2 linked regions of the Ovis aries genome follow. The protein of the gene in region 2 purifies or fractionates together with the protein of the main gene of each other region. This does not show direct contact. Links are inferred from orthologs where the notes say so. Each region holds a gene or a part of one and is shown on either strand. Other genes may lie near its edges. The genes, in order: SF3A2 and U2SURP.

Evidence for each region.
Region 1: the proteins of U2SURP (region 2) and SF3A2 purify together in Homo sapiens (affinity purification with mass spectrometry; 3 studies listed by BioGRID, with this or other methods). This does not show direct contact. The link is inferred for Ovis aries from reciprocal best matches to the Homo sapiens genes U2SURP and SF3A2.

The regions. Positions count from the first base shown.
Region 1 is NC_056058.1:19,189,529-19,192,951, reverse strand, and holds the end of SF3A2 (splicing factor 3A subunit 2), read right to left. Parts: coding exon 3,386-3,423; intron 2,558-3,385; coding exon 2,508-2,557; intron 2,428-2,507; coding exon 2,287-2,427; intron 1,877-2,286; coding exon 1,808-1,876; intron 1,721-1,807; coding exon 902-1,720; 3' UTR 782-901; downstream 1-781. Other genes in the region: AMH (muellerian-inhibiting factor precursor), read right to left, coding at 1-111. UniProt on the Homo sapiens protein: Component of the 17S U2 SnRNP complex of the spliceosome, a large ribonucleoprotein complex that removes introns from transcribed pre-mRNAs.
Region 2 is NC_056054.1:246,592,212-246,596,029, reverse strand, and holds part of U2SURP (U2 snRNP-associated SURP motif-containing protein), read left to right. Parts: intron 1-120; coding exon 121-200; intron 201-601; coding exon 602-689; intron 690-1,706; coding exon 1,707-1,829; intron 1,830-3,818.

The sequences.
Region 1 (3,423 bases), on a different chromosome or scaffold from region 2:
CTCCCTGGGCGAGGCTGAGGTATTGGAGACCTCTTCCCTGGGGGTCCCTGGCCTCAGCAGAGCCCCCATGGCCGACAGCACCAGGGCCAGAGAGAGAGATGGACCGGGCATCCTGGGAGCTTCCAGGGGCTGCGCTGCCCTACTTTATAAGGGGAGCAGGGCTGTTTGTGGTACAGGGCAGTCCCTATCTCCTCCTGGGACATGACCTTGGAGACTGGTGCCTGCTGCGAGCCTGGGAGGCCTGTGGCCTTCTCAAAGCCCCCTCTGTTCCAACCTGCCTGTCTATCTCCTGAGCAGTGATACAGTGTGTGTGGCCTGTGACCCATTTGTCAGACTGTCCTTGACAAATCTTTCCCCTCCCCAGAGCAGGAATGTGAGCAGGAGTGCATGCCCCAGACAGTCAGACTATCAACAACCTGGGGGTGTTGGAGGGCAAGGTGTGGAGCCCCTGCCCCAGGAGGATTCAGGTGCCAGCCCCAAGGGGGATGACGCTTCACATCGGGTAGGCAGGTCTGTCCCCCAGTGACCCCACGTGCTCGCTCACCCTACCTCTGAGGCCCACAGAGACCCCCAAGGAGAGTGAGCAGCCTTCTTCGCTCTGCTGTCTTCCCAGAGAACCACCCCACATTCTGCTGGCCCACAGGGTCTGTCCTTGCAGAGACAGCAGGGGCCACCCCCTGTGGTCCAGGTGGGACCCTGACACCCCCTATGGTGGTGGAAAGCAGTCACGTGTGTTCACCCACAGCAAGCTGACCGCCCACAGGTTAACACAGCAGTCCAGTTCAGGGTCAGCAGACTCTTTAATGAGCTCTGAGGACACCCAGCCCAGTACAAAAGAACTCTACTCTGAGGGCGAAACCCAGGAAAACCAAACCAGACTTGCTAGGATGGGGGTGGCTTTTCAGTTGGTGGGGGGAGGGGGAGGAATGTTCCCAGGGCCTTCGGAGGGCAGTGGAGGCCTCAGCATCGGGGGCATGGGCGTTGGGGGGTGCACCCCAGGATTTGAGGGGTGCACCCCAGGTGGCTGAGGATGGACCCCAGGAGCCGGAGGATGGACCCCAGGAGGAGGGGGGTGGACCCCAGGAGGCTGGGGGTGGATCCCAGGGGCTGGTGGGTGGACCCCAGGAGCTGGTGGGTGGACCCCTGGAGCCTGGGGGTGAACGGCAGGAGTCGGGTGCACCCCCGGAGCCTGGGGGTGAACTGCAGGAGCTGGTGGGTGCACCACTGGTGCCTGGGGGTGAACACCAGCAGATGGGGGAGGATGGACCCCTGGGGCTGGAGGGTGGACTCCCGGAGCAGGAGGGTGGACTCCTGGGGCTGGAGGGTGGACCCCTGGAGCAGGGGGGTGGACCCCAGATGCTGGTGGGTGAACCACTGGTGCCGGGGGGTGGACCCCAGGAGCTGGGGGATGGACCCCAGGAGCAGGGGGATGCACCCCAGAGGCTGGTGGGTGGACCACCGGTGCTGGTGGGTGGACCCCAGGAGCCGGTGGGGGCAGCTGAGGAGGGCCTGGGGGCCCTGAGGGTGCAGGCCCACTGGGCGGCATCGGTGGCAGGGGCAGGCCTCCTGGTGGGGGCGGAGGCAGCGACTCTGGTAGTGGCGGGCGAGGGGGCAGGCCGTTCATCAGTGGGGGTGGGGGCCGTTTCACCCCAGGAGGCCCAGCAGGAAGGCTCGGTGGGGCTGGTGGCTTCTCCATCTTGAAGTGGAACTGGAGGAAAAACTGGACAGACAGGAAAAACTGAGTAGGGTCCCAGAGGCCTTGGGGTGGGAGAAGGATGGGGAACTGCATGGACATGGACTGACTCACTTGCTTGGTTTCCCGGTTCCAGTGAGTCCAGAACTTGCCTTCAGCCTTGTCTATTTCCCTGCTTGGCACCTGTGCGGGGTAGAGGGGCAGACAGGCCCTCAGGACCATGAAATGGCCTGGCCCAGGAGGCCCTTCTATGAGGGAACAGGGTCTGACGTGGGGGTGACAGCTGGCATTCTTGCTCCACTGCTTAGCAGCCCTGCCACCCAGGGAAGCTGCAACCTACCCTGTCTCGTTAACATGTATCTGAGAATTGGACCAGGTCAGAGTCCTGCACAGCCTGGTAACAGGGCCACCTCACTGCTAGGGCCATGCCAGGGTCTGATTCACGGTGGACACCCAGCCCCTGCCCTCACTCTGCATCGTCTTCTGACAACCCTCAGGAGGCAAGGGCCCAGAGGGGGCGCCTGGTGTGGGCTGGGGCCAGCTGCTTGGATGGAGCAGACCCTGCAGGACCCTCCGGGGTCCCAGCAAACTACCTTGAAGGCGATGGTCTCATAGGGCTCAGCGGCCATGAGTAGGTACTGCCAGCGCCGGTCCGGGGGCTCGATCCTCTGCTCGTAGGCAGACATGAAGCGGTGTCGGGGCATGATGCCCTCGGCAATCTCAGGGTAGTCGATCTGCAGGGACACGGCCAGTGACAGCACTGCCTCTCAGGGGCCCCTCCCCTCAGGACAAAGGGTTCCCGGCCTTTGCTCACCTGGAAAAGGAGGCTCTGCTGGCCCATCTCTGTATCTCTCTGCTTGGTTACTGCAACACAGGAGGATGTCAGGTCCAGTAACGGGGTCCTAGGACTGGCCTAATGTCACCCACGAATGGGAGAGCTGGCTTGGCAAGTGGGGGGAGGTCACCCTGCTGGGCAACTAGCAGTCATTGGCCCAAGGGTGGGAGGGCTGTGCCCCAGGTGCCACCTGCCTGATATCACTTGGGTGGGGGCAGAGGGTGGGCTCCCCACTGCCCACCCTCCTCCACCAGACCTTCTGGGAGCGGGTGCCCATCACAGTCTAGCTCTGTGGCTTTGGGCTGCTCTCCACACAGCTCCGGGGCCCTTCATATGCGCCCTCAGGCACTTAGTGTCTCCCTGACACAGCCAGGAAGAGGCCAGATGACCCAGACTGACCAAAAGGCCTGTGGTGGCCTCCCTGGGGGTAGTGCCATCCTCGCCCTGGCTCACCAAGCTGGACCACTCCAGGGCCTTCCCAAGCCATGTCTTGTCTGAAACGCCAGTCATACACAGGGTGTGCCCACTTCAGCAAGAACACCTGCAAGGAGGCCTGCCTTCCCCTCCTCCCTGGCAACCCGATCCTCTGCAGCTGCTGGCCCAGGTAAGCCTCCTCTTTCCTTTACTCTCTCTCCATGTGAAAAGGCACCAGCACCCAGTTCTAAGGTCAGAGGAAAGGACTACACCAGGGCCTGCAGTCCCCTCCCACCCTCGCACCCACCTCTGCTAGGAGTATAAAGAGCAGAGGAGACACTAAGGCCCCCGCCCTCAGGGCAGGAAGCCTCTAATGGAAGCTGAGGCCACTGGTGAAGCTGGAGGTGGGTGAGGGACTGCCCACCCAGGGCATCGACAATTACCTTTGTAGCCTGGGCGGCCGATCTTCACAAACTTCTTC
Region 2 (3,818 bases):
AGCTAAACATTGTCCTTATGCTGTTGATTCAAAAAATTCAATGTGGAGTTTTTGTTAGCTACATTATTTGCTGTTGGTTTTCAGTTTTAATCCATTTTATGCTATCTTTTGGTATTCTAGATTGCCAGATTATATTTGGTTTCTGATGTTTTATACAACTCTTCAGCCAAAGTTGCCAATGCTTCCTATTATAGAAAATTGTAAGTATAGTGATATAAGGTGATACGCCTAAAATAAAATATTTAAGGGTAAGAAGCTCAGAAAAGAGTATAGTATAACTCTTGCTCAGTTCCCGACATTTCCTTTTTGGTGTTTATTTTATGAATCAGGGAGGCTTTTAAGAACTGGCTCTGAAGGGAAATTTGGAGATAATCAACCCTAATCTTAGCTCTGCTATTCCTTTTTCTGCCTTGGACAAGTCACTTAAATTTTCTGTTCCCTATTTTATGGAACAAAGAGGTTGGACTAGATGCCCCAAAGTAACCTAGATGTAAAATTCCTTATTAATCAAGGGAACTAGTTCTTAAGACTCTTTGGGAGCTTTTGCAGAAGAAAAATTCAGAATAATAGGAGTTAAAGTAACATATTATTTGAATTTCAGTTTTGAAACAAAGTTGTGTCAGATATTTTCAGACCTCAATGCTACCTATCGTACAATTCAAGGCCATTTACAGTCTGAAAACTTTAAGGTACGTTTATTGTTTGGTTATTTTTGCCCTAGTGTTTTAAATGGGACATGGGGGCTGGGAACCACATTGGAGAGCTAAGAGTATGTAAGATAACTGTAAGACATAACTTAGATGTTTTACAAATTATTGGTTTAAAATTTACCACCATTTTACCTTCAGTATCAGAAAAAGTCTGAAATTTTAAAATATGTGTAGTGTTTTGGGTGTCTGGTTTATTTTTAAACATTTTAATAAAATAGTCTTTTCACAGAAAATATTCAGAAGATCGCTTGTTTTGTAGTAGTATATATAATTTGGTTGGATTAGAAATACACATTTTAGTTATCCATGTTTAGAAAGTATATTCAGCTATTAATTTTTAAAATAAACTCTGAAGTTATAGACCAATGTTAAGAAAGGCCAAACAAAATACCTTACTTACAGATAAAAAAAATAAATATACTTCCGTGGGCAGAACACTCATTAAGGAAATTTTTAGCTTGGGCAGATCCCCAATGACTCCACCATTTAGGGGAGTCAAACTAACAACTCCATTAAAATTTTTTTATCTTAAATTTTGACCATAAGACAGAGATTATAGAAAAGTTTAAGGATGGGACAGAGAGAGGTATTAATCTGACTCGGGAAGTATTTCATCAGACCATAAAGGAGTTCAGATCAGAACTTGGCTACACTTGTATCCAGCTTTCATTAGTTTCTAGGCTAGTGTTTCGCAGAATGTGTACCATTCTGAGAGGGAACTTGAGCTTAGGTGACCAAGAGCAAGCAGTTAACTGTTTTTTTAAAAAAATATTTATTCTTAGTGTCTTTCCTCTTTTAATTGAGAGGTAACATTGATTAAAAAAAACTAATGATAAAAAATATTGTAATGATAGTTCTTTTCCTTAAATTTTAAAAACAATATTGCTTTAAAGGAAAATTGTGATGGAAATTCAGCAAATTGTGATGGTCATTATCATGAGATGACGTTTGATACATATTGTCCTGAATAATAATTCACTGTCTTTTTCCTTTTAGCAACGGGTAATGACCTGCTTTAGAGCGTGGGAAGATTGGGCAATTTATCCAGAACCATTTTTGATCAAACTACAAAATATTTTCTTAGGACTTGTAAATATTATTGAAGAAAAGGAAGCAGAGGTATGTATTCACTGTATTTGTCTGATTATCTTAAAATTTATTTCTGGGGATGCTTTGGAGGTACAGATATGAGTAACATTTCTTTGTAGAAAATATGTACTGTTTACCACAAAATAGTGGATATTTGTTGCTGGAATTGTTGGAGCCCAGGAGTTGAAATTATATATAACAGGAATTCTCTGTTTTGTATCCTTATGTAAAAATTGATGATTGGTGTTTTATTTGATGACATGAAAACATTTATTGTATATTAGTAGAAGAAAGAAAAAAAAGCAAGTAATAAAGCGAAATATGCAGCACAATTTCATGTTGTTAAACTGAAGATACCTATGTAAGTAAATATGTACCTGAAAAGATGTGTACCACAGTGGTAGCAGATTCTGTTCATCACCCTTCTGGTTTGTTTTTTTTTTTAAGCCTCCTCAATAGTTCTTGAATCCTTCGTCTTCATTTTCACCATCCTAATCCATCTATCATGTTTTCGCTTTCACTTCTACAAGATACTCCTGATTTGCTTCCCTACTTGAACCACATGGTCCTTGTTTCAGTTTCTTAAATATCAATGTTTTCTCCTACCAAAGACCTTTATACATGTTCTTTCCTCTTCTTGGAACATCTCTTGTCTCAGACCCTTTAGATCTCAGTTTGAGCATAAGTTCATTGAGCTTTCTCTGACCTCTTTAGGTAGAACCTACATACTATACATTCTAATAATACAGTGCACCTCTTTGTTGTATAAGTCATCCTACACTTTTGTGATTATCTGGTTGCCTGGCTCCTTCTCCACTCCCCTGCCCCCTCCGCCTCTCAAGTTCTGCTGAGCTCTATGACAGGAGGGACTAAGGGACCAAAGCTCATTTTCACTCATTATTGTATTCTTAGTGCCTCATATGATACCTGGCATCATTAAGTATTGGTAAATATTTGATAAATATTGTACAGATGACTACTTTTTTGTCAGACTGGATGATAAGAATATATTATTCTTATATCTGCATTTTGTACCTGGGAATGTGAATCTCCAGCTGTTTGGTTTATGTTGTTGTTGTTTAGTTGCTTTGCTAAGTCCTATCCAGCTGTTTTTTTGACCCCATGGACTGTAGCTCCTCTGTCCATGGGATTTCCCAGGCAAGAATACTGGAGAGCCTTGCCATTTCCTCCTCTAGGGAAAGTTCCTGACCTAGGGATCAAATCTACATTGCCTGCATTAGCAGGTGGATTCTTTACCTTTGAGCCACCAGGGAAGCCCACTTGGTTTATACAGGATTGCAGTTAATGTTTCAGTGATAAGACTTTAGCATGCAAAAGAACATATTACAATCAGTTCAGTTCAGTCGCTCAGTTGTGTCCGACTCTTTGCGACCCCATGAATCGGAGCACGCCAGGCCTCCCTGTCCATCACCAGTTCCCGGAGTTCACTCAACTCATGTCCATCGAGTCAGTGATGCCATCTAGCCATCTCATCCTCTGTTGTCCCCTTCTCCTCCTGCCCCCAATCCCTCCCAGCATCAGAGTCTTTTCCAATGAGTCAACTCTTCACATGAGGTGGCCAGAGTATTGGAGTTTCGGCTTTAGCATCAGTCCTTCCAAAGAACACCCAGGACTGATCTCCTTTAGAATGGACTGGTTGGATCTCCTTGCAGTCCAAGGGACTCTCAAGAGTCTTCTCCAACACCACAGTTCAAAAGCATCAATTCTTTAGCTCTCAGCCTTCTTCACAGTCCAACTCTCACATCCATACGTGACTACTGAAAAAACCATAGCCTTGACTAGACGGACTTTTGTTGGCAAAGTAATGTCTCTGCTTTTGAATATGCTCTTTAGGTTGGTCATAACTTTCCTTCCAAAGAGTAAGCGTCTTTTAATTTCATGGCTGCAGGCACCATCTGCAGTGATTTTGGAGCCCAAAAAAATAAAGTCTGACACTGTTTCCACTGTTTCCCCATTTATTTCCCATGAAGTGATGGGACCAGATGCCATGATCTTCGT